3 linked regions of the Notamacropus eugenii genome follow. The protein of the gene in region 1 interacts with the protein of each later gene in a pairwise test. Links are inferred from orthologs where the notes say so. Each region holds a gene or a part of one and is shown on either strand. Other genes may lie near its edges.

Region 1 (8,293 bases):
CCAGTCATCCTGATGAATATCTGGTCACTGGATTCAGATGACTCTGGAGGAGAAGTGAGGCTGGTGACTTGCACAGCCCTCCCTCACTCAAAACAAAGTCAAGTGCAAGTCATGTCATTATTTCTCTGATGGTATGGTCTTTTTCAAAAAAGGACAAACACAACCAACAATTGATATAATGTCACTCTACTCAGAAGTTTTCTTCCCTCTCAGCTGAAGAACCTGCCTCTAACGTTCCTGAGGCTATTTACCATGTGTTCCTCCTTTACCCCTTCTCTTCATTTCAAAGCCTCTTGACATCATCTCCCACTCTCTCTTCTTTAACCACCTTCTCTAACAATAATGTGGCCTTTCTTCTTACCTAGGCCAAGACCTGTACATGTATTGATCCTGTCTTTTCCTGTCCCCAACACACTGTTCCCTCAATGAACTCCCTCTCTCAAATCTCCAACTTCTCTCTAGCTACAGTTTCTTCCCTATAACCTTTAAGGATGGCCAAGTCTCCCCCATTCTCAAAACAAAACAAAAAATCCTTCATTAGACATTACCTCAAGCTGTCATTCAACAGCTCTCCTCTCTTTTTCAGCCAAACTCTTATAAAAAGCTTCCTGTACTTGTTGCTTCCTTTTTCTTTCTTCTCACTCTTCAACCCTTTACAATCTGGCATCTGACCTCATCACTCAACTGAAATAGCTCTCTGCAAAATTACCAATAATCTCTTAACTGCAAAATCTGATAGTCTTTCCTTAGTCCTCATCCCATTCAACCTTGGCAATAGTGACCATCCTCTTCTCCTGTGTACTCTGAAATTTTTTGACATGACTGTCTTCTGGTTCTCCCCTACCTGTCAACTCCTTGTCCATATCCTTTGCAGGGTCACCATTCATACTACACCTCTAAACTGTGGTGTTCCCCAAGGTTCTATCCTAGATTATTCACTCCTGTAGAGCAATACACACAATGATTACACAATATAAAGGCAAAACTAAAAGGCAACAGAAAGGTCAAATACAACATATAGCATAGGTACCAAGCTGTTAATACTAAAGCACAGATCCTTCCTTTCGTTAATAATCAGTAACCTACAAAAGTGAAAAGTACTCCTCAGGGAGTGTATTTTGTGGGAGGGTTCATTTGGGAGTTTTTTAGGAAGTATCTGTTACATCAAAATAAAATTAATAAAAAAAATTTAGTTAGTTGCCACAATCAACTAAATGACCTACCAGTAGTTACCCTGTATCTCACTAATGCAATGAGATATAACAGGATTTTTTCATCATTTGTAGTTGCGTGGAGGGGAGAGAAAATGTGATTCTGTAAGCAGGAAAATACTCTAAGGATTGTATAGTGGGTAGGGAAAACCAAATTACTCTTCAGTGATAAAACTGGTTGCTATAAGGGAAATGTGACAGGAGAGTGAGATGGGTCTCTTTGTCCTGCACACAAATATTTGTCCTTCTAGTGTAATTTGTACTGTTAAAGCATCTCCTTTGGGCTTACTCCCAAGTCTCACTCTCATTGGCAGGCTGTGTGCCCAGAGGGCAGCTGACTACTACTCCTCTCAAGATTCTAGGGGGTAACTCTGCCAGGTTTTTTTGGGGGGAGGGAATGTTATATTACTATCACTACATTGATGTGTTCCCAAATATTAACTTGATGATGTCAACTCATTTTTTACAAAGGGACATATACTAATGTGTTATATAATGTAACATCTACTTTAGAGGGAGGAAGAATGGTATGGATCTGTAGAGAATTCAGGTATTTTAAGGTTTTTATTCATCTCCTGAGGCAAAGAAGTATTGTGCAATTTGAGAATTGGGGGGGGGGGGGAAGGAGAGATGCAGCAGGGCACCTGAAAAAGGAGAAAGAACATGGAGAGAAGAGGGAGGTTGTGGGACGTTTCTCTTGTTTTTATGGAGTAGCTGAGCTACTTGGCTAGAAGCAATGGTATCTACAGTTACCCTCCTCAAATCCATGCTTCTGGGGAGCCTAGAGAGATGAAGCCCAGAGGAGGCATGGTATAAGACTGTGTTTTCTTGTGGGTATAAGCCAGGTATAAGACTGTGTTTTCTTGTGGGCACTTGCTAAAGTGTTTGGAATGCTGAGGAAGAATAAGGAGGAACTGGCAGTTCTTGCTCCTTTTCCACCTTAGCTGGGTGCAACTTGAACCTGTTTCGAAGAATGACCTTTTATTCCATTAAAGGCTGCATGTGACTGATCTAATCTAATATCTCTCAACACCTGTAGTTGACCCTGGCCCTCATATTTCTTTGTGTACCTTTGTTTGTAATTTGAAGGCACAGGACAAGCATGGAAGTCATCAGGGGAGAAACCTTTTCTAGATACTAACCCTCAGTCCATGGTCCAGAGGGCAGCAGACCAATGGAAAGAGTGTCTTGAATTAGAGATAACTGAGTCTGAATTTTCACTGTCGCTTAAACTCCCTGGGTCTGAATTTCTTCATGGGTACAAAGATGGAATTTGAATTTGACAGTCTCTAAGATCTCTTCCAATTTTAGTTCTCTTAACTTTTATCATTCTCCCTAAAGTGTAATAGTCTTATCTCCTGACTGTATGTGGCAAATATGTGATATGAGCAGAAATTTCCCCCAAATCTCCTACTTATTAAAAATGTGCTTTATAAATCCAGCTACCTGACTGTCCATGCCTGTTTCCAACTACTTGAAGCTCATTCTTGCATCTTTCTCTGTATCACAAGGCTCCTGACCTTCACTTATCCTGATGTGCTTCTGTGCCTGTGTGTCTCAACATAGCTTAAACAGTCAGCCATTATCCACAGGGCTCAGTTACCAGCATGTATTACAAGATAGAACATTCAGTCAAAACTACTACAAAGAAATGCAATAGGATAAAATGTAAAGTATTCCATTTGGTCTCCAAAGCAAACAGACAAACAAACAAGTAGAAGGTAAGGGAAGCCTGGCCAGGTAGTACAAGCCATCTCTGAGATTGGAGTTTAAAAAAAGGAAGAAATAGCTGCCATCTTGACAAGACTTTAAGCTTCGTGAACTCCTTTTCATACATAATGCCATTTGAGCCTCACAATAACCTCCTGGGATGGTTACTTTGAATACCAATTTTAAGGGTAAGGAAACTGCAGTTCAATGATTTGCTCCTAGTCAAATAACCAGCAAGTTCTGGAGGGTGAAGTTTAGGGTTTTAGGATGCATTGAGAGGCTATTCTTTGCCCTGATCAGACTATCTCTGGGTCAGTTAGGGATGCCACATTTTAAGTACAATGATAAGCTGGAGAACCTCTGGAGACAGGGAGATGGGGAAAGTGAAAGGCCCAAGTTCATGCCACATAAGGATCAATGAAAAGAACTGGAAGTGATTAGCCTGGAGCAGAGAAGACTGGAGGGGCACACGACAGTCCTGTCTTTAAATACTTAGACTCCTTGTGCCCTGGATGGCAGAACTGGATGGAATGGACTGAAGTCATCAAGGGCTGATGTAGGATAAATTGACAGAAAATTTTAATAACTATTACACATGATCCAAAGCAGAATGTGCTCCCTAGGGAGGCAATCTGTTCTCCTTCTCTGGAAGTCTTCAAACAAAGGCTGGATGGCCGCTTGTTCCTGGGGACTCTTCCTTTCCCTTTGTACGCATTCTGACTTGGGCACTCTTCAATTATAATTGGGTCCAACTATCGTATTTCCATGCAGATGGCCACGCTCTGTTTGTCTCCAAACCACCAGTCCTGCATCTCCAACTGCCTGCTGGTCTCTCGATGCCCCGCTGGCATCTCAAGTTCCACATGTCCATAACAGAACTCCCCCATTTCTGTTGGGCACCGCCATCCTTCCAAGGACCCAGGTTCAAACCCTTGGCCGTTTTTGGCCGCTCTTCCCTCGCTCCGACCACATTCAGACACAAGTCCCAACAACTGGAACCCCCCCTTGCCTCCCACACCTTCTTCACCCACGCCTCCTCTCACGCACATTAGCCCAGGCCCTCGCGGGCACCGCGTGCCCCGCTGCCATCACTCTCCAGTTGTTCTCCTCGACCCCGTCTCTCGGCCCTTTCCCTTTGCCATTGGCTCATCATTTCCCCGGAGCCCCCCCACTCCACGTGTCTCCGTGTCACTCCCCGTGGGGCTCCTGGCCTAGCTGGCCTCGCGTCTCTCTGGTCAGTCATCTATGGGAGTGTGTCTCGTGGCGCCCCCTTGGTGGGACTCACGCCACCCCACCGCGCCCTCCCCCAAGCCGTGGCCTCCCACCCCCGGGGGAGCTGGGCGTGCGGGCATCGTTCACCCCCAGCCCTCTCTAACCAGAGCCACGTCCCTCCTCTGCTTCCCCGCCCCCTCAAGCACCGCCCCTTCCTCGCCTTCTCCCCATCCCAGGTTAGGCCCCGCCCCCAATCTTAGCTCCTCCTCTCCCCTCTCCCAGGAGAGGCCAGACCCGCTCCTTCCCTGATCGCCCCTCCTCCTCTCCCAGTCCTTATCCTCTCTTTCCCCTCCCCTTCTCTCTCCCTTAGAGAGCTAGGACCCACCCTCTCCTTCCGCCCCGCCCCCTCCCAGTCTCTCTTCAGTCTGTCCCTCCCTCTTTCCTCACTTCCCCTCCTCTCCCTTCCCCACCTCCCCAAGCTAGGCCCCACCCCTGTTCGAAGCTCCTCCCTCGCCTTTCGCTCCCCTCCCCTTCCCTCCTTTTCATCCCCTAGGCGAGCTAAGCCCCGCCCCCTCCTCTCCTCCCCTCCTCTTCTCCTCTCTCCCCGCTCACATCCCTCTCTTCCGTCATCCCTCCTTTACCTTCGTTTTCTCCTCCTTAGCGCGCTAGACCCCGCCCCCGGCCGCTCCTTCCGCCTTCTCTCTCGCCCCTCCCCGCCTCCCCAAGCTAGGCCCCGCCCTCCCCCTCTCCCCCACCCTCCCCTCCCCTGGCTGCTGTCCTCTCTTCTCCCGGGCCGGGCCCCGCCCCCGTCTCCCGGCTCCTCTCCCTGCTCCCTGTGAGGCGGCAGCGGCGGCTCCGCCCGGCTCCGGCTGCGGCTCCGGCTCCGGCTCCGGCTGCGGGCCCCGGTCCCGGCCCCGACCCCGGCCCGGCGGAAGCATCATGGACTTCAGCGTGAAGAAGCTGGCGGCGGACGCGGGCACCTTTCTCAGCCGCGCGGTGCAGGTAGCGCGCGGGCCGGGCCGGGGCGGGCGGGAGGGAGGCCGAGGCCCGCGGCCCGTTCCCCGAGGCCCCGCCTCCCGCCGCTGACAGCCGGGCCGAGCCAGGCCGGGGGCGGGTCGGTAACGGAAGGAACCGTGGCCTCGCCCTCTTCCTCTCCCCGCGGGCCGCGAGACCCGGGAAGAGCGAGGCCCGAGCCGGGACCTGACCTCCTGACCTCCCCCGGCCCCCACCGGGCCCCAGGGCACTGGGAGGCGCCCGAAACGCGCAGCTCCAGCCGCGCCCTGGGTCCGGAGCCCCACGGGGTGAGGACCCCGGGCCCGGCCCGCGGCGTCCCCAGCCGGTCACTTCCCCGGGAGCCGAGCTCGGGGCGCCCCGGGGCTGGCTCCGCGGCCCGCCCCAGCCTCCCCCGGGAACTCCCCCGGGACGGAGCCAGAGGCGCGTCAGGTCCGCGGCCGTGCTGGGCTCGGCCCGGCGCCCCCTCGGCCCGGCGCCCCTTCGCTCCGGCGCCCCCTCGGCCCGGCGCCCCCTCGGCCCGGCGCCCCTTCGCTCCGGCGCTCCCTCGCCGGCCTTCCCTTTGGCCCCAGTCCTAACTGGAGGTCCTCGAACTTTGGAAAGGATGCGTTTTCGGGCCGCTTCAGGATAGCTGGTTTCCTTTGTTACACCGCGTTTATTTTTCTGCCTCTTAACAAACGTTCTTCCCGAGGGGCTCCAGGACCTCCACCGAACTGCCCGCAGGTTGGGAGCCTGCTCTGGGTCCTGGGTTCTCCTCTGGGACCGTTGGTTAAGCAGGGAGTAGGCTAGGTGGGGTAGCCAGCCGGAGAGGTGTGGCCGGCCAGGGGAGTCGCCTCCCTGCTTTATCTGGGGGATAGAGGTGTAGCTGGCGGGGGCGAGCGGACCAACGCCCTCCTTTTGCCCGGGGGAAGCCGGCCCAGGGCCCCCTGCTGTGTAAGCGGCAGTCGGGATTCACCTGGAGAGCCTCGGCCTTGAAGGAGGGTAGAACTAAACGTTCTTGGAAACCATCTCACACCCACGTTTTAAAGATCTACCACGGTTTAAGAAAGGTGCACTTAAAAAACAAGAGGTACACTCGAGATTCCAAAGCCTACCAGGACTACTGTCGCAATTGCTCCCTTAAATACCTTAAAAAGAATTTTTATCGCTAAGATAACAAATTTATGTGTGACTCTTGACGATACCCTTAAACCGTAACGCTGAGTTTTAGTGAAAACATCTTCTTTTAAAAAATTAGCCACAGTTCAAAAGGTCATAATTTGAAATTGACTCTTTTTTGGTTGAGTAAATTTCTGTGTTCATCTTTACAACCAGAAGTGATTGAGAACTTGGAGTAAATTTAAATTTATGGTGATCATTTCTAATTCTACTTAGTGCTGTCCATTTTATAAATGAATGAACTTGTGTCATTGGTTATGTTTTGATCTCCTTTAATACCTATAAAAACATTTTCCTTCTTTAGGGTGGTGGATACTTGATAAATACAGTCTAGTTCTTCCAAGGTGTATTCTTACATTCCTAAAACAAGGTGCCAATAGGATTATTCATGCGTTTATGTTGTCTGATTTGTATTATTTAATTAGTCTTTCTGGGATTTGAATCTTATAGTTTCACTGAGAAATTTACATTAGGCCACTAAAATGTTGCCAATAACACTATTTCTGTTAAAAGCAGGAGACTTCTTCTGATCCAACTAATTTCAGTTGGAATTTTACTCATTGTTTCTATAAAGTTTACCTGATAAATAGGTCAGTGACAAGTCAAATTTATTCATTATTCAGATCAGCAAATGTTAACTAAGCATTTATTATGTGGTAATTATTGAAGATATAAAGGATAAAAAAGGTTTTGTCCTCAAGGAACTTTTTATTCTACTGGTTTGAAAGATGTGACAGGTACATAAATAATGATTATAGATAAGGTCTGGTATGGAACCATATTTTAGGATCAAAGAGTTGGGCTGGAATGCACAGTAGGGTGTCTTGGGCCTACCTCCTTATTTTACAGATCAGAAAGTGAAGGCCCAGCAGAGATTAAATGACTTACCCAAAGACATACAGGAAGTAAGTAGCAAAAGTTGAACTTGACCCTTTTCCTTGTAAGAATACATGGCCTTATCGTGCAAGAAAATTTAAGAAGAGAAGGAATACTTTTCCACTGGCGCAAGAATCAGGGAGAATTTCAGGCTGTATTTTGTGTATTAAAAAGGCTTGACTATTGGGATGTTCTCTTCAATAAATAAGAATTCCAGGTGCCTACCAGGTCAATTTGTACACTGGCCCAATTTCTAAGTGCCAAAAGCAGTCTTAATCTCTGTCTATATTTAATGTCTTCCTCCACATACTCAGTTCCAGTTGGAGTGACTGGGTCTGATATGTTTGTATAGAGTGGTAGCCTAAGGAGACACAACTGGAATTTACTATCCTAACTTCAGATGACAGACGGTAAAGTCTAGAAGTGTTGATAGTATGCTTTTAAAGAAGTGGTGATTAAAGAAAGTAGGGAAGAGAGCTTTTGTGAGCTTTATTTATACTCAAGTCTATCTTACCTTTCACTAATACCATTCTGTAACAATAACTTTGACTTACTTTTCAAGAATAATTTTTGAAGTATTATGCTAAATCAACGTAAACAAGTTAAATTTTTTTTTTTCACTTTTGCTGGATCCATTACCTTAAGAATAAAATTTACCACCTTTCAGAGTTAAGAGATCTTGGGACCATACTTCATGTGAGATTGAAAATACTGTGCCTGATTGTTTAGACAAAACAAGCACACTGCTTTGTGAAGCTTATTTCAGTTTCAGCATTTAGTCAGTAACTGAGATCTCATTCTACACTTTATTGACATCGGTAATCACAGCAGTCTTAGGATCATAGATTTAGCATTAGATTGAACCTTAAAAGTCATCTAGCCTATGACAATGTACAAAGTCTAATGAGTTGCAGTTAGAGCTTGAGAACTGTACCCCACCAGATTAATAGTAGTAAGGAAAACAAATTTTCATCTACTTAAATATTAAGGATTTTCTAGTAAAATAAAAAAATCTAGTAAAAAAAAAATCAAATAATGTCTTTTAGTAAGAATAAACAACAAACCAGAATTTGTAAGAACCTTAGATTCCTTATTTCTTCCCCTATCTGGTACAT
Region 2 (7,861 bases), on another chromosome or scaffold:
TCTCACTCAACTCACATATCTAATTGTTGTCAAATCTTAACATTTCTCCCTTCACTACAGCTTTCATATGTGATAGCATGCCCTTTTTTCTTCACTCACACAGCCTCCACTTTAGTACTGATCACAACTCACTTATCTAGGCTTTTTAATTGGTCTCCTTGCCTCAAGTGTCTCCCACTCCAATTCATCCTCCACTCAGATGTCAAAGTGCTTTTCCTAAAACAAAGGTCTGGGCATGCCAACACCTTACTCAGTAAATTCCAGTGGTTCCTCCTCCAGCATCAAATGTAAAGCATTCTATTTCTCATTCAAAGTCCTCTTACACTGTGCTCCCTTTCCAGGTTCTCTTTGGTCTTCCTGCTGTTCCTCACATACAATACTCCCAACTCTGTACCTTTGCACTGACTTACTTTCTCTGGCTTCAAGATTCAGCTCAAGTCTGACTTTCTTTAGGAGGTCTAGTCCACCAGCTGCTAGTGCCTTTCCCTCTCAGATTACTTTCCATTTACTCTGTATATATCTTGCGTTAATTACTTATATGGACAGTGTTTTTTGTCTTTGTTTGTGTCCCTAGTGCTTAGCACAGTGCCTGGCACAAAGCAAGGGCTAAATGAATGCTAATTGTTGACTGACTACATCCATGGGCTATACTACTTTCCATATTAAGTTTAAACTTCTTGCAATGAATGAGATCTGTCCACGCTTCTTAGCATATACTCCTCTGCCCTTTATACTCCAGGAATCTAGATGATACCACAGAAATATAGCTTATTTCACTTCTTAGAACATCATTGCTTAATATTACATTAAAACATTACAATTTAATAACAAAACCTTTTCCTACCACACTCAATGTATATCATTAAAAATTTAAAATAAAAAAGGCATTTCTTTTAAAAACAAAACTTACAGAAGACTCTAAGAATCTTAAGGACAGGGAACATATTATTCATCTATACATCCTTAGCAGCAATTAACTTTGGGTCCTGAGCCCCAGGCATAGGTTCTCAGGAGGTAACTGTTGAATGAAAAATGTCTTTTGAAAAATAGTGATTCTGAATTTAAATTCTATTTAATTCATATTTTTTGCTTAATCATTTTTACCTGCTGTGGTATCCATTAAGGTAAATGAATGCCTGAATTTTGCTGCAATTGTTACCCATCAATTTTATTTTAGAAAACCATACCCTGGGGAGATATGCAACAATTAAAAAAATAGAAACCAAGAAATCCTTTCCCTACAACAGTCACCACCAAATTATAAAAATTTCCACTGAAATAAAAACAGATGTCAAACTAAAAACAAGCAACCTAAACCCAGTGATACTGTAAACAATTCAAAGTTCATATCTGTCAAAATGCAAAACATTTTTTTATTCTGAAATCCCTGAAATTATTTTATCCCAAGCCTTAATGATGCATATTTCTTATCACATTCCTTTTACCAGGCCACTGAAATACCACTGAAGGAGCTTTTTCTGAAACAGACTTGATTAGGTGTGTCAGTATTACAACTTGACCTACCTGATTTGCCAACTGCCATCTCCTCCTACTCCTGATTAGGTAACACCAGACACTCACATTGACAACAGATGTAAGGTAGGCCACTGAGGACTTGAGTAGGGGGGGAATAGCACAATGAAGGTGAAATTCAAGGTGATTATTCAACAGCATCCTGGATGCTGGCCCTAGAATCTGATTCCGTAAGGTGAGTACCTACTAGACAGACACACCTACACTAGATCCCTCAAATATCAGTGAGAGAAGAAAGGGGAGTGTTGAGGAAGGCAGAAAATTCCTGTGTGGGAGATGTCTGGGAAAGAAGCATGAAAATGGATTGAAAAAGTGGAGGAACAGGTGAGGGCAATGAGGAGTCTGGAAGTGCAGCAATTAAAGTTGGAGAAGTTTACATGGAAGGAGGTTTGGAAGAGTAAGGATACTAAGGTTTGTAAGACTGTGTAAGGAGAGCTGAAAGAGATTCAAGGCTGGACAGAACTAAGGAAGGGAAGGAAATTAAAAATACTAAGAAATAGGCAAGAGAGGTCTATGACAAACGCAAAATGTAGGAGAAAGCTTTGAGAAGAAGACTGAAGAAGATGAAGACATTATGGGGTGGGTGACCTGAGAGAATTGGGGGCAGGACAAAGGGTGATGAAAAGGAGGGTAGGCAGCACTGAATATGGTTCCTCAGTTAATAAATATTTGCTGAATGAAGATGAAGGAAATGACTAAAGGGCCCCTCCCAGAGATACGGGGTGGGGTGGGGGAGAAGCGAAGACTCCGGAAAGGGGCGGCGGTAAAGTTGCTGAGAGATTGCACGGAGATCCCCACGGAGGGTACGAGGTAGGAAAAGAGTTGTTACTGTGAGTTTGTCCTTGCTCCGGAAGAAGACCATGACATCAAGATGACGACATGACTTGCAGCTGACTCTTGATTTGAGTGAGGGAGGGCTGTGCAAGGTAGGAAAAGAAGGGAAACAACCAAAGAGGGTCCTAGAAAATGTTCCCGGTAGTTTCTTAAAACAAAGAAGCAGCATGAAAAAAAAAGTCCTCTAATTCCAAAAACAGCGTTCTCTTCTATTCTGAAAGTTTTTTGGGGGAGGGGGAAGGCGGGCAGTCGGACTAGAGAAGAGAAGTAAGAGCTAGAAGAAATGGGATGACACGACACGGGGAGATGACCAAGGGATGACTGGTGGATCCCCATCCGATACGGAGGGGTGGGTTTCGGGGGGTAACCCAATAGGAGAGACCAGGGGAGGCTGGGGGTGGGTCTAGAAGGAAATGGGGGGGTCGACCAAAGAAAAGGTGGGGGGCACCGAAGGGCACATACGAGGGGACTGGGGATACCATGGACACGTACATATGGGGGGATGGACGGCATACGTGCCAGGAAGCCACAGGGATAACAGGACAGAGAGAACTAAGGTGAGGGGCGGGTACCCCCGAGGGCGGAGAGGACTCAAGGGCCCAGGGGGCTGGGGGCGGAGCCCGGAGGGGGTAGGCTGGCCCAGAGGCGGGGCCGGGCGGCCTGTCGGTCCGTCAGTCGGTCGGTCGGTCAGTCAGTCAGCGGCTCCGTCACTGCTCTCCTCCCGCCTCGGTTACCTTGGCTGGCGGGATCCATGTCCGGGCCGTATGCTGGGCAAGTACCGAGGCCAAGCCTGGTGTCCGTCGCTTCCACTCGGCGCCCAGAAGACTCGGAGCCGCTGCAGCCACCACCACTGCACGTAATCCCAGCCGCCGCCACTCACTTCCCCTTGGGAGCCCCACCCCCACCCGCTGCTCCCTGGCCCCGCCTTCCCCCGGAATCAGCCAATGAGAGCCTCCTCCGGTCACGCCTGCACTCGAACTCCGTCCTTCTGATAGGCGAGTGTTGAGTCACGTGCCTGAGGGCAAGGCGGGTGGAGTTTGGCGGAGTCCGGCCCAGTTCGGATTCACCATTGAGATTAGCGTGCTCCCGGCTAGAAAGGCAGGAAGGAGTTGAGGCGAGAGGAGCGTGGGCTCTCGGAGGACTCCGTAGTGCTGGATTGCGTCGTTTTCCGTGCTCTGGCTGCCGGAGCCTAAACCTGAGCGCCCACCTCACTCTCGCGTTTTGCCTTGTGTCTACACCGTCCAACTTTAACTCTTCCTCTTCCAGGCCCCGCCAGTCTGAGTACTTGCCCCTAGTCCCAGGGCGAAGCTCCCTCTCCCGGCCCTCGCCGCCATCAGTCCCAAGTTACCAGCTTGGGGCCGCACCTGCAAGCCCCCCACTTCTTTCCTTAGGTGCCACTTGCCCTCAGTCTTGGCGATCGTTCAGGTCTATGGGAACGTGGGGCTCTACTGCTAAGAAATGGAAGGTATTTTTAATTCAGTCCCATAAACAGCCTTCGCTCCTTGAGGACAGGGGCTGTTTTTCTTCAGTGTCTGCATCACAGTCTCTTGCGCAGAGGTGCTAAATAAAAGCTTTTTGGATTTAATTTGAATTAAGTATAATTTTGTGCCAGCATCTTGCTCCATGGAGTGGTGGGTAGAGAGCTGTGGCCTCAGAGGCGAGATCTGGTTTTAAGTCTGGCCTCTGACCGGAGATACTTGCTGTGTGACCTTGAGCAAGTCATTTAACCCCTCAGAGCCCCGGGCATCTCTTAGAATCCATTTTGTTGAGCAAATGTAGATCTGCTTCACCAGAAGCAGTTTACCCTGCAGGCTTTCCCTATACTAGTGAAATCTTACCGTGGGTTAAAAGTTTAAAAATGGTACCACGACCGCACTGGACTTCTGGGGTTGGGTTTTTGCTTTGTGACCCAGGAGAAGTTTTGTAACCTCTTAGTTTCCTCTTCTCAAATACGGGCAATACTATTTGTCTTAACCCTACTTTACAGGGTTGTTTTGAAAAAAAGTATAGTAGTTCATTTACATGGCAAGTGTAACTTCTCCACAGGCAAAATTAATGCACCTACCTAGGTTAAGAAGGAAAGAAGTCAGATGGGAAAACACTTTGTATCCAGTTATCATCCTAAAGGTCTAGACTGGAAACAGCACTAGTTGGATGATGTTGAGGTGGATCACTGTTTCCATTTTAGAAAGTAATTTGGAATTATGCAATTAAAATGTCTGTACCTTTTGAGATTCCATTGCTAGGTGTATACCCCAAGGAAGCATTGACAAGGAGAAAATCCCCTTGTACACCAAAATTTATAGTGGTACTTTTTGTGATAGCAAAGAATTAGAAACAAAGTGGATGCTCATCAGTTGACGGACGTCTACATAAATTATGGTACATTATTATAATGGAACATTACTGTGCTGTAAGAAATGATGAATATGATGAAGCCAGAGAAGAATGGAAAGATCTACATGAATTGATGCAGACTGTAGTAAGCAGAGTCAAGAAAATATACGTAATTTCTACAAAAATGAAAACAGAAAGAACAATCACCAAAAGAAGTTAATGTTGCAAAGTTACAAAGAATTACATGGTTAAAAGGCATTCCGATCCCACTCCATGGTGGGATCACTCCATGATTGTGGTACATAGCACTTATTTTCAGGCTTTTTCAGTATGTTGATCAGTTCTGCTTATTTTTTCTTCTATTTTTTCCTTTAAAAATCTGTCTTGTTATATAGAATGACTTTCTGAGAGAGGAGAAGGGAATGAATGAGGGGGAAAATCTTGGTAATGTAAAAAAAAAAAGCCAGTAAAAACTAATTTAAAAAGAAAAAGTATAGTGATGCCAGTAAGAAAAATGGGACAAGACAAGATGGGCATGTTTAGGGTAGTATGGTTGTTACAACAGTTTGGGTTTTTTTTTCCCCTTTATTTTTTCAATGGAGGTAGGTGAGAAAAAGAAGGCAAATTCTCATTAATTGAAAAAAATGATTTAAATTGACTATAATTCACTTTTAAAAAGATAAATAGAGCTGTAAGGAGGAGAAGATTTTGTAAAGATGATTTATTTGGATATATTAAATTTAAGATGCTGGCAGGATATCTAGGTGGAGCTGTTTATCAGGCGAATGGAAATAAATGGAGCTCAGAGGAGATGTCAGAAGAGAGAGATCAGTATTGGAGTTATAGATTTAGGAGAGATCTGCATAGAACTATTAACTGAAGCCATTGTATTAGATGAAATCACCAAGGGAGTTAATATTGGAAGATTAAAGAAAAGGGCAGGGGAAAAATAAAATACCAAATAAGTAATTTTTTAAAAGAAAAGGGCAAAAAAAGAACTTTGGGGGATACTATAAATAAGATCTGAAAGGGAAAAAAAAAATGAGCCAGGAAATTTCTACTTTACCTCTGCCTCCTGGAATCTCTAGTTCCATTTAAGGTTCTACTCAGGCGCTACCTCCTAAAAGTCTTTTCTGATGACCCCAGTTTTTAGTGTTCTCTCCCCAAAATTACCTTTTTTTTTTGTCTGGACCTGCAGTTTCATCAGCATAGGAAGCTTCCCTGTGAGAAAACTTAGTCTGTCAATGAAGATCTGGGACTATTCTGCAATTTATACTCTTAGAATTTCTTTGAAGCACTAAGAGGTTAAGTAACTTGTCTAGTATATATAAAAGAGACTTGAACCCAGACCTTCCTGGCTCCAAGGCTAGGTCTCTATCCAAATTACCAGAAGGTTTTCTAAATAATTTGTATTTATTTTGTATAAATTTTGCATTTACTTAATCAATCAACAAGTATTTATTAAGTGCCTACTATGTTCTTGGCATCATGCTATGTGCTGGGGGTACAATTATAATGAATGGAACAGTCTCTCCTTGAAAAGATCTTATATCTTAATAATAGAGGCAACAGTGTACACATATGCACTCATACATATACATATGTGTCTATACAGATAAAATACAAAGTAGTCTGAGAAGGAGGGCATTAGCAAATGAAGAGATCAGAAATTACTTTATGTAGAAGGTGATGCATAAGCTACATCTTGAAGGAAGAAACATTTTTGAAGTAGACAGGAAGAGGAATTGCACTCTAGACAAGGAGAATAGCCAGTATAAAGACATAAGATGAGAAATGGAGTATCATATGTGAAGAACCAAGAGAAAGCCAGAATATATTTGAATATAAGGATTATATCGAACCAGAGAGGAAGTATAATGAGGCTGGAGAGTTTGGTTGGGACAGTTTTCAAAGGAAGAAATGTAAATAATCATCAGTCATATAAAAATGTTCCAAATTGCAATTAACAGAAATACAAATTCAAACAACTCTGTAAGTATCACCTCATATCTGTCAAATTGGTCAAGATGATAACAGAAAGAAGTAGCTATAAGTAAAATCTAAATAAGTTCCCTCAACCAATTTGAGATTATTGAAACATACCCGCTTATTTAGAGGCATCTAAGCTATACTTTTCTGTGAAATCTGAGCATGTCCACTGGTGTGGTACTAGTTGGGTTCCACCTCCTAGATTCCCTGTCTTTCTTCAGGTCCCAGCTAATATCCTGTCATTTACCGGAAGCCTTTCCTGATTCCCCTTAATTTTCTTACCTTCCCTCTGTTGATTATTTTCCATTTATCATGCATAAATTTGGCAAACCACTATAGAATACGTAGTTTATATGTAGTTGTTCCAATCTTCTCTCCCTTATTAAACTATAAGCTCCTGGAGAGCAAGGACTGTCTTTTGCCTTTGTATCCTCTATGCTTAGCACATAGTAGGTGCTTAATAAATGTTTACTGACTCACAGTTTATGACTGACTGGTGCTTTCTCCTGATGATTGACTGACTTCAGATCTGATTTCTTTTCTTTTGGTCTATAGAATTAGTGTCTAATGTCTTTACTTATCATTTTCCCCCTGTTGCCTTCTTCCAGAGTACAGCAAAGGTGGAAAGAGATTTCTCTCTCCTCTCACACGCAGAAGCAGATGATGTCAATGCACAGAATCTGAAAGGAGAGATCCCAGAGAATGAGATGTCCCAGCTTAACAGATGGCAACAACTCTGACACTGAAACTTTCCCACTGAAGCAAAAGGCAAAAGCAGAAATGTGTGTGCCCACTCAGTGGAGAGAGGAGAGTCCCATATCTGGGAGCTGCCTGAGGGAGAATCTCAATTTTGAGAGTTCTTGATTTGAGTTTTGATGCTAGACATTCTCCAGAGAGACAATTTCTTGAAATATTGTACTCCTTGGAAAAAAGAAAAGAATTAATTTAGTTCCTGAGCAGAGTTACTTGGATAGATCCAAGCAAATAAAAAAGTTTACTTATTCAGAAATTCCCAGAGTATGTTTACCCTCCAGGAGAAATATTAATCACTAAGTAGCACTATGAGTCTTGAGGGGAAATTATGTACATTCCTGTGTGATAGACGGATTTCATTAGAATATAAAGGTGTCATTCCAATGGCAATATCAGGTTCAATATTGTGTGTGTG
Region 3 (7,982 bases), on another chromosome or scaffold:
AACCCCACAAACCTCCAAGCACTGACTATCACGGAGCGAATGTGAGGATTTCTGTCTCATTCCCCTCCCTCTCCCTCTTCTCTCTTTCTGTCTCTCTTCCTCTCCTTCCCTTTCTCTCTCCCTTTTCTCTCTCTTTCTCTCTGTTCCTCTCTCTCCTTCCTTCCCCCATTCACCTACTTCTGCATCTCTCCTTTAAAACTACCTCTCCCAGCCATGCTCCCCCCCAGCTCTACTCCTGCCCCTCGATTTCTCCAACATCCTCTTCCTCTATTGCTTCTGACTAGAAAAAGAGAGAAGGTGGAGGGCAGGGGCTGCTACTAGAGACCTCCTCCTTCCAGAATGGCTTTGATTGTTTGCTGCTGGGAATTTATCCATTTGACCATCTCTGAACCATCCAAGTAGACATTCACTGGCACACACCCCTCCATCTTATTGATGAATATGTCAAGAGACTGCCAAACACCTCTGATGAAATCCAGGCATCCTAATTCCATGGCTTTGTCCGGGCTGGTCAGCTGCCTTCTCTCTCCCTCCCTTCTCTAGCCCAGTGGGTGACCAGGCAGGTGGCAGATGGCTCAGCCATCCTTTGACCCTCTCCTCTCATAATCCCAGATAAGCCCTCCCCTGCTCCCATCTCTCTGCCTACCAAGGTTGAGGGTGGATTAACTGGGGCCTCCCCTTCTCCCTCAGCCTCTCCCATGACTCACTTCCGGATCAGAATTAGCTGTTCCCGTCCTCACCAGGATTCCCTCTCTTGGGAACCAGAGAGATACCCACCTTAACCTCATCCCTCCAGAAATTCTCCACAGAAGAGACTCACCCATTCCAGTAACTTCAGGAAGCCCAGGGGCTCCTTGACCACCCGGAACTGACCCCCAGCCACCAGCTGTAGAGAAACAAGAAAGGATGAGGAGGAAAGATGGAAGAAGAGGGGAAAATATGGAGCTTAAAAAGGAGGGGAAGAAAAAGGGATAGGGAGGGGGATAAGTAGAGGTCCAGTGAAGGGAGAGAAGAGGAAGAAGACAAAGGGGTAAAGAGGGAAGAGAACGTTAAAGGGTAGGTGACGCAAGAAGGCTAGAGAGGGCAAGGCTATGGGGAGAGGGGGTAGCTCTGGTGCAGCCTCTGCAAAGGGCACTGCCCCCATCCAAGGGAACCAAGCTTCTGGGTCAGCCCACACTTCCCAGTCCTCTCACCATCTCTCTAGCCTTGCTCTCACCCTGCCTGCTGTCACTCTATTTTCTCAGCTTAACAGAGGAACACACACACACACACACACACACACACACACACACACACACGTGCGCGCGCGCGAGTACCTTTCAAACCTCTTCTGACTCCAACTCTTCTGACTCGAATTTCTCCATCTATCTCCCTTTTTTCCCCACCTAATCTTGAGGCCATCTGCTCATGTAGGAACCAGCCAAGAATTGTCCATTTCCCTCACAAAAATTCATCTGCCGTACTGCTGGATTCATTCCCAGATTCCTACCTTCACCGTCCTCTCACCCCTCCTATCCTCTAGGTAGCTTCCTCCCTCTCCTTCATTTCCACTTTCATGTCTCCATCCTCATTATCCCATCCCCACCCCCCCTTTCTCCACTTCAAGCCTTCCTTCCTCTGCCCCCATTTCCATCAACATCTGTTTTTACACTTTCCTTCTCTGGAATGCCCTTTGGAATCTCCCCTCCCTCTCTCCCCCAGGCCCCTTGATAGACCTCTGCCTTTCTCTGGGACAGGATCTGCAGAGGTTGTTTTCTGTCTCCATCTGTCTCTCTTTGTATCTCACTCTCTCCCTGTCTCCCCCCTATCCCCCTGCTAGATCCCCCTCCCTTCTCTTTCCCTCCTATTCCCCCAAATTCAGACCTCCTCTTTCACTTAGAGACGTTTCTCTGGAATTTCTTACCCATCAAACCTCCAAGTCAACCTCTTCCTTCTGGATGACCTTCAAGATTTCTGTCTTTCAAATCTCTGTGCCTGTCTGTCTGTCTGTCTGTCTGTCTCTCTCTTTCTCTCTGTCACTCTCTTCTCTGTCTCCCTCTCTCTCCCCCTCCCTCCTTCTCTCCCTCTCTATCTCTCCATCTCCCTCCCTCTCTTCCCTCCTCCCTCTCTCCCCTCCCTCCCTCCCTCTCTCCCTCCCTCTCTCCCCCTTCCCTCCCTTCCCTCTCTCCTCTATTCTCCCCACCCACAAACCTACACATCCATCCTTATCGATTATCTAGTCCCTAATACCTCCACTTCCTAGGCAAGCCTCCCCCTCTTCTCCCTGGTGACCCCCTGAATTTTTCCACCTTCTCTCCCCTGTCATTTACAGGGCTGTTTCCCCTTCCTCTTTTCCTGGTGCCTTTTGGGATTTCTCTATCTGTCCCATCTGTGTCCCTCAACTACAAGTCTCCTCTGCCGTCCCTCCTCCCCTTAGCTAACTGCTTCTAAGCTCTCCTTCCAGGCCTGCCTCAGCTTCCTGCCTCCTCCTGGGGCCCCTAGGCTTTTTTCCTCTCACGTTGCCACCCCCCAAATTGAGCCTGGGGTTCCTTCTGGACCCCTGTGGCCAAAATCTCTCTATTATGCTCCTTCCTGGATGCCCTCAGGAACTGGTTTTCCCCCATTTTCCTCCGCATTCTCTCATTGCCTTCCTTTTCGACCTTCCTTCTCTCCTCTTGGTTGTCCTGGGGGGTTCCTCCCTCCCTAACTGCTCATCTCTGCTAGCCAACCGGGCCTTCCCTGCATCCTCTGAGATCCATCCCCCGATTCTGCACCTTTCTCAGTTCCAGGCCTCTTCTGGCCTTGCACCTCCCCCCCCTTTATCTCTCGCCCCCTGGGCGCTTCCCCTTACAGCCTGACTCCTTCACGTCCTGCCCCTCCCCAGGTCCCCCCCTCTAACTCCTTTATCTCCTACCCCCCAGGTCCCCTGACTGTCTCCTTCACCTCCTGCCCCTCCCCAGGCCCCCCCTTCTAGCTCCTTCATCTCTCCCCCTCCCCAGACCCCCCTTCATTTCTCCCCCTCCCCAGGTCCCCTGACTGTCTCCTTCACGTCCTGCCCCTCCCCAGGCCCCCCCCTTCTAACTCCTTCATCTCCCCCCAGGTCCCCCGACTGTCTCCTTCACCTCCTGCCCCTCCCCAGTCCCCCCCTTCTAGCTCCTTCATCTCCCCCCAGGTCCCCCGACTGTCTCCTTCACCTCCTGCACCCCCCCCCCCACACACACACACTCCCACCGCGCCCCGCCCTTTTGTCCATTTCTTGGCTACCGGCCCTGAGCCCTCCGGGAAGGGTAGGAGCGACCCCTGGGGGCTTAGGAGCTAGCTCGGGGGCGGCTGTCCGTGGTGCTGAAGCGCCCTCGGTCGCCTCGGCATCTCCCCACCTGGTTGAGCACGTCCATGGTAGCCTTTTGGATGCCCAGCAGCCGCCGCAGCCGCAGCCGCAGCGGGGGGAGGAGCAGTAGCAGTTGCAGCGGCAGGGCGGGGGGCGGAGCGTTGCGATCGCTAGAACAGCCTCAGCTGCTCCGGTCCTCGCGCCTCCCCCTTCCGCTGCTCTTCTTGCCACCCCCCACCCCTACTCCCCATGCGCAGGCGCGCGAGAGGAAGGTAGCGACGGGCGGCCCTCTGAAGGAATGGAGATAGCGCAGGTTTCCGAAGGGTTGTCCCGGGGGGCCCTGGGGGCGGTGACTTCAAAGGCTTTCAACTCCTTCCCCCAAGCTTCTTGCTCTAGGAAGCCCGCCGAGATTTCTTTCCCATCCAGCTCAGCTCCGACTTTAACCGGAATCCCCCCCTCATTCCTTCCCTCAGGGGGTCGCCCTTGAAGAGTGGAGGTGACCTGGACTGCCCCACAGACTCAAGGATGAAAGCGGACTCGGTGATCCCAGAGTCCATTGTAAACGGGAATCTGAATTCCCCAGCCCCCTCCAAGTCCACCGCACCCAGCCTTGACTTGGCCTCCAGGGAGGGGCACCCCCGCAGCTTGGAGTGGCCAGGAAAAGCCATCCCCAGCACTTTCTGTTCCCGCACAGAGAGAGCAGCAAGGACACTTCTGCAAACATGGATTTCTTTTCCTTTCCTTTCTTTTCTTTTCTTGCAGTCCGCCTGTCCCATGTATCCCTACTCCCTCCTGTTTCCCTCGTCTACAGTGAGAATCTCCTTTCTCCCCTTCCTCTCCAGGGATTACAACTCCCCCCTCCCCTAAAGAAATGCCTCACTATGTTCTGATCACCTCGTGGCTCTGAGTTTTTCCAGGTTTGACACTTAATTAGAAACAAGTCTTGTCGGGGCTCCTTTGGGAACCTAGCTGCCATAAGTGAGCCTAGGACGATGGGCTGTCATGTCCTTGGTCCTGGAAGCTTGTCCCTTCCCTGGGAGCTCAGGCTGCCATCCCTTTACCGATTCATCCGGAGCCTGAGAAGCCTGGACTAGCAGCCAGGGCTGGATGGCTTTGGGAAGGGACGTGCCACGGTTGAGCTCCCAGCTCGCTGAACAATGGCCCATTCAAATCCATTCTTTCAGAGTCAAGAGTTCAGACAGGGCCCCCTACCCAAAGTAATCACTGCTTAGGAGACCAAGTTTGTTGCCTTCACTGGAAACCTTAGATTTCCTCCGCATGTTCCCTCTATTACGACCTTTGTTTAGACATACCCTGAGGCTGCCTTCTTTCTTGGTTCTTGGTGAACCAAATGTTTCTTCTTCCATTGTAACAAGTCTGCCATGTAGCTCCTTGCGAAACTGTAGCTGTTAAGCACCTAGGCACCCAACGTTCAGGAAGGGATTGTATCAAAGACTTCACTAAGTTCCAAACAAACTTTGAAACAAAATAAAAATAGTGAGAGATTCCAACCATTCATCTCTCAGATGCTGAGCAAACTACAATGTTAAAGGAGAAATAATGGTCTTTTACTTGGTCTGTGTCTCTGCGTGTCTGTGTCTGTCTGTGTGTCTGTCTGTGTGTCTGTGTGTCTGTCCGTGTGTCTGTGTGTCTGTGTCTGTCTGTGTGTCTGTCTGTGTGTCTGTCGTCTGCCGTCTGTGCGTCTGTCTGTGCGTCTGTCTGTGCGTCTGTCTGTGTGTCTGCCTCTCTCTCTCTCACACGCACACGAACACTCCCATTTCAGTCTTTCATTAATTCTGGTTCTCCCATATCTGTGTCTCTATTGTCTAGATACATCAAAATCTACTATGTTTCAGTCTTTCTTTTCTGTCAAATAGGGTTAAGTGACTTACCCAGGGTCACACAGCTAGTAAGTGTCTGAGGCAGGATTTGAAATCAGGTCCCTCCTGACTCCAAGCCTGGAGCTCTGTCCACTGCAGCACCACCTAAATAACGTAAGTCAATAAATATTTACTCAAGTATCTCCTAGGTACCAGACATTGTGCCACTTTCTGGAGATACAATAACCCTAAATGCACTCTGCCCTCAAGGAGCTCACAATCTAATGGGGGATACACTGGATAAAACAAACACGATCTCAGAGAGAAGGCACTAAAAATAGGGGGGGATCAGGAAAGGCTGGGACCTGAAGGAAGCTCAGAAAGCCAAGAAGTCATGCAAAGGGAGAGAATTCCATGTGAAAATGGCCAGAGACAGAGTGTTCTATTGGAGGAAAATCCAGAAGGCTCCCAGAGGACATGGAAGTGAATAAGGTGTGAGAAGACTGGAAAAGTAGTAGGGAACCAGGTCATGAAGGGCTTTGAATGTCAAACAGAGGATTTAATATTTGATCCTAGAGATGATAGGGAACAGCCTCAGCTGCTCCGGTCCGCTGCAGTTTCTTGAGCCAGTGATAGGGTTGGATCTGTGCTTGGGCAGCTGAGTAGAGGATGAACTGAAGGGGGGAGAGGCCAAAGACAGGCAGAGCCTCCAGCAGCTACTGCCATCATCAACGGCTGAAGTGATGAAAACCTGCACCAGGAGGTGGCAGTGCCAGAGGAGAGAAGGGAGTGTATTTGGAAGATGTTCCAAAGACAGAAACAGCAGAACTAGGCAACAGATTGGATATGGGAGGTGACTACAAGGATAAGATGCCATGGAAAGTAATAGGGAAACTGTGAGGGGAGAGTTTCTGGGGAAGAGGTAAGGAATTCCATTTTGAGCATGTTCACATGACATGCAGTTTTCAGCTGGAGATATGGGACTGGATGTCAGCTGAGAGAGCTCAGGGCTGGACAAATAGATCTGACACTCATTTGCATAGAGATGAGAATCGAATTCACAGGAACTGATGAGACCACCAAGTGAAATAGTCTAGAGGGAAAAGAGGGCCCAGGACAGAGCCCACCATTGGATGAAGATGTATCAAAGGGCACTGATATAGCAAAGGAGCACTCAGACAAGGAGGCGAACTGACATACAGCAGAGTCATGAAAACCTCCAGACAAGAGGGTGGTTGCCAGTGTCAAAGGCTTCTGAGAAGTCACAGAGGATGAGGACTGAGAAAAGCCTACTGAGTTTGGCAACCAAGAGATCCTGAGTAACTGGAGAGAGGAGCTTCAGTTGAGTAATGAGGTTAGAAGCTAAACTGTAAAGAGAAAAGAGTAAGAGGAAGGCAAATGGAGGTACCTATTGTGGGCAACTTTCTAAACCCCAAAAGTGTTTATCCACAAAAGGGGGGAGAGGTATGAGATGAAAGTTAGCATGGATGGATGGAGTCTGAACACAGATCGAAGCATACTATTTTCTCTTTTTCATTGTTTTTCCTTTCTTGTTGTTTTCCCTATTTGGTTCTGATTCTTCTTTCCAACATGACTAATGTGGAAATACGTTAAATATCAGATTATACACCTTCTTGGGGAGTGGGGAGAGAAGGGAGGAGGAAAAATTTAGAACTCAAAATCTTGTCAAAGTGAATGTTGAAAACTAAAAATAAATAATAATTTTTGAAAAATGATGAGCAGGCAGATTTCAGAAAAACCTGGCAAGACTTCTATGAACTGAGGCAAAGTGAAGTGAGTAGAACCAGGAAAACATTGTACACAAGAACATATTGTATGACAAGCAATCATGAACGACTTAGCTATTCTCAGCATTACCAAGAATACAGTGTGAAAGGGCTTATGATGAAAGAAAGAACTGATGGAGAGTGAATACAGGTTGAAGCAGACTTTTTAAAACTTTACTTTTCTTGGCAGTTTTTTCCTCTGGTTTTTTTTTTTTGCACATAACAAATATGAAAATAACTTTTGCATGACTGCAATTGGATGACCTCTATCAAATTGCTTGCCTTATTAGTGAGGGGGAAGGGAGTGAGGGAGAGATTTTAGAACTCCACATAAAAAAAGCAAACAAAACCAAATATAAAAAAAATTTTTTTACATGTAATTGAAAAAATATTTTTAAAAGCAACCTTTGGTCTGTCTTGTGTCTCTCTGCCTCCCTCTGTGTCGCCCTCTCCCTTTGTCTATGTAACTTTCAGTGTCTGTATGTATTTTTGGGTCTCCCTTGGTCTCCCACTTTGTTACTCCATCAAAGCCAGGCCCCAGGTGAGTTCTCGCCATCCCCTCTAGACCCAGGAGATAGCAGCTGGAACTGTTGTACCTGAGCTCACCTCCTCCAGGATGACATTTATTCTGGTATAACATCTATCTATGTCTACATACCCACTGGCCCACATTTACACACACTTGGGTCCCCCAGGTTCGTCTGTGAGGCCACAGCTCATGAGCCCCTCCCTTGGTGTCACCCAGAGAATTCAGTTAGATCCAAACCCAAAGCACTTCATGAAATAGCATATTAAGATTTTCAATAGAACATTTTCCCACATTCCAACACAGGGGGTATTCTCACATAGATAGCCAAGAAACCAGTGGGGAGAGTGAATGGGCAGGGATTACACACAAACAAAGGAGCAACTTCTGGAAATGCCATTGACCTATTCTTCTTCTTCTTCTTCTTTTATTAATTTATTTAACTTTTAACATTCATTTTCACAAAATTTTGGGTTCCAAATTTTCTCCCCACTTGTCCCCTACCCCTACCCCAAAACACTGAGCATTCTAATTGCCCCTAT

What was found.
Region 2: the proteins of SH3GLB1 (region 1) and TPD52L2 interact in binary tests that used the Homo sapiens proteins (3 or more experiments, as listed by UniProt). The two-hybrid records come from large-scale screens. The link is inferred for Notamacropus eugenii from reciprocal best matches to the Homo sapiens genes SH3GLB1 and TPD52L2.
Region 3: the proteins of SH3GLB1 (region 1) and SYP interact in binary tests that used the Homo sapiens proteins (3 or more experiments, as listed by UniProt). The link is inferred for Notamacropus eugenii from reciprocal best matches to the Homo sapiens genes SH3GLB1 and SYP.

The regions. Positions count from the first base shown.
Region 1 is NC_092873.1:496,315,746-496,324,038, forward strand, and holds the start of SH3GLB1 (endophilin-B1), read left to right. Parts: upstream 1-4,914; 5' UTR 4,915-5,072; coding exon 5,073-5,135; intron 5,136-5,282; exon of another isoform or gene 5,283-5,434; intron 5,435-5,694; exon of another isoform or gene 5,695-5,867; intron 5,868-5,916; exon of another isoform or gene 5,917-6,213; intron 6,214-8,293. UniProt on the Homo sapiens protein: May be required for normal outer mitochondrial membrane dynamics. Required for coatomer-mediated retrograde transport in certain cells. May recruit other proteins to membranes with high curvature. May promote membrane fusion.
Region 2 is NC_092872.1:496,481,293-496,489,153, forward strand, and holds the start of TPD52L2 (tumor protein D54), read right to left. Parts: upstream 3,268-7,861; 5' UTR 3,121-3,267; coding exon 3,102-3,120; intron 1-3,101.
Region 3 is NC_092879.1:102,205,913-102,213,894, forward strand, and holds the start of SYP (synaptophysin), read right to left. Parts: upstream 3,462-7,982; 5' UTR 3,375-3,461; coding exon 3,357-3,374; intron 887-3,356; coding exon 821-886; intron 9-820; exon of another isoform or gene 1-8.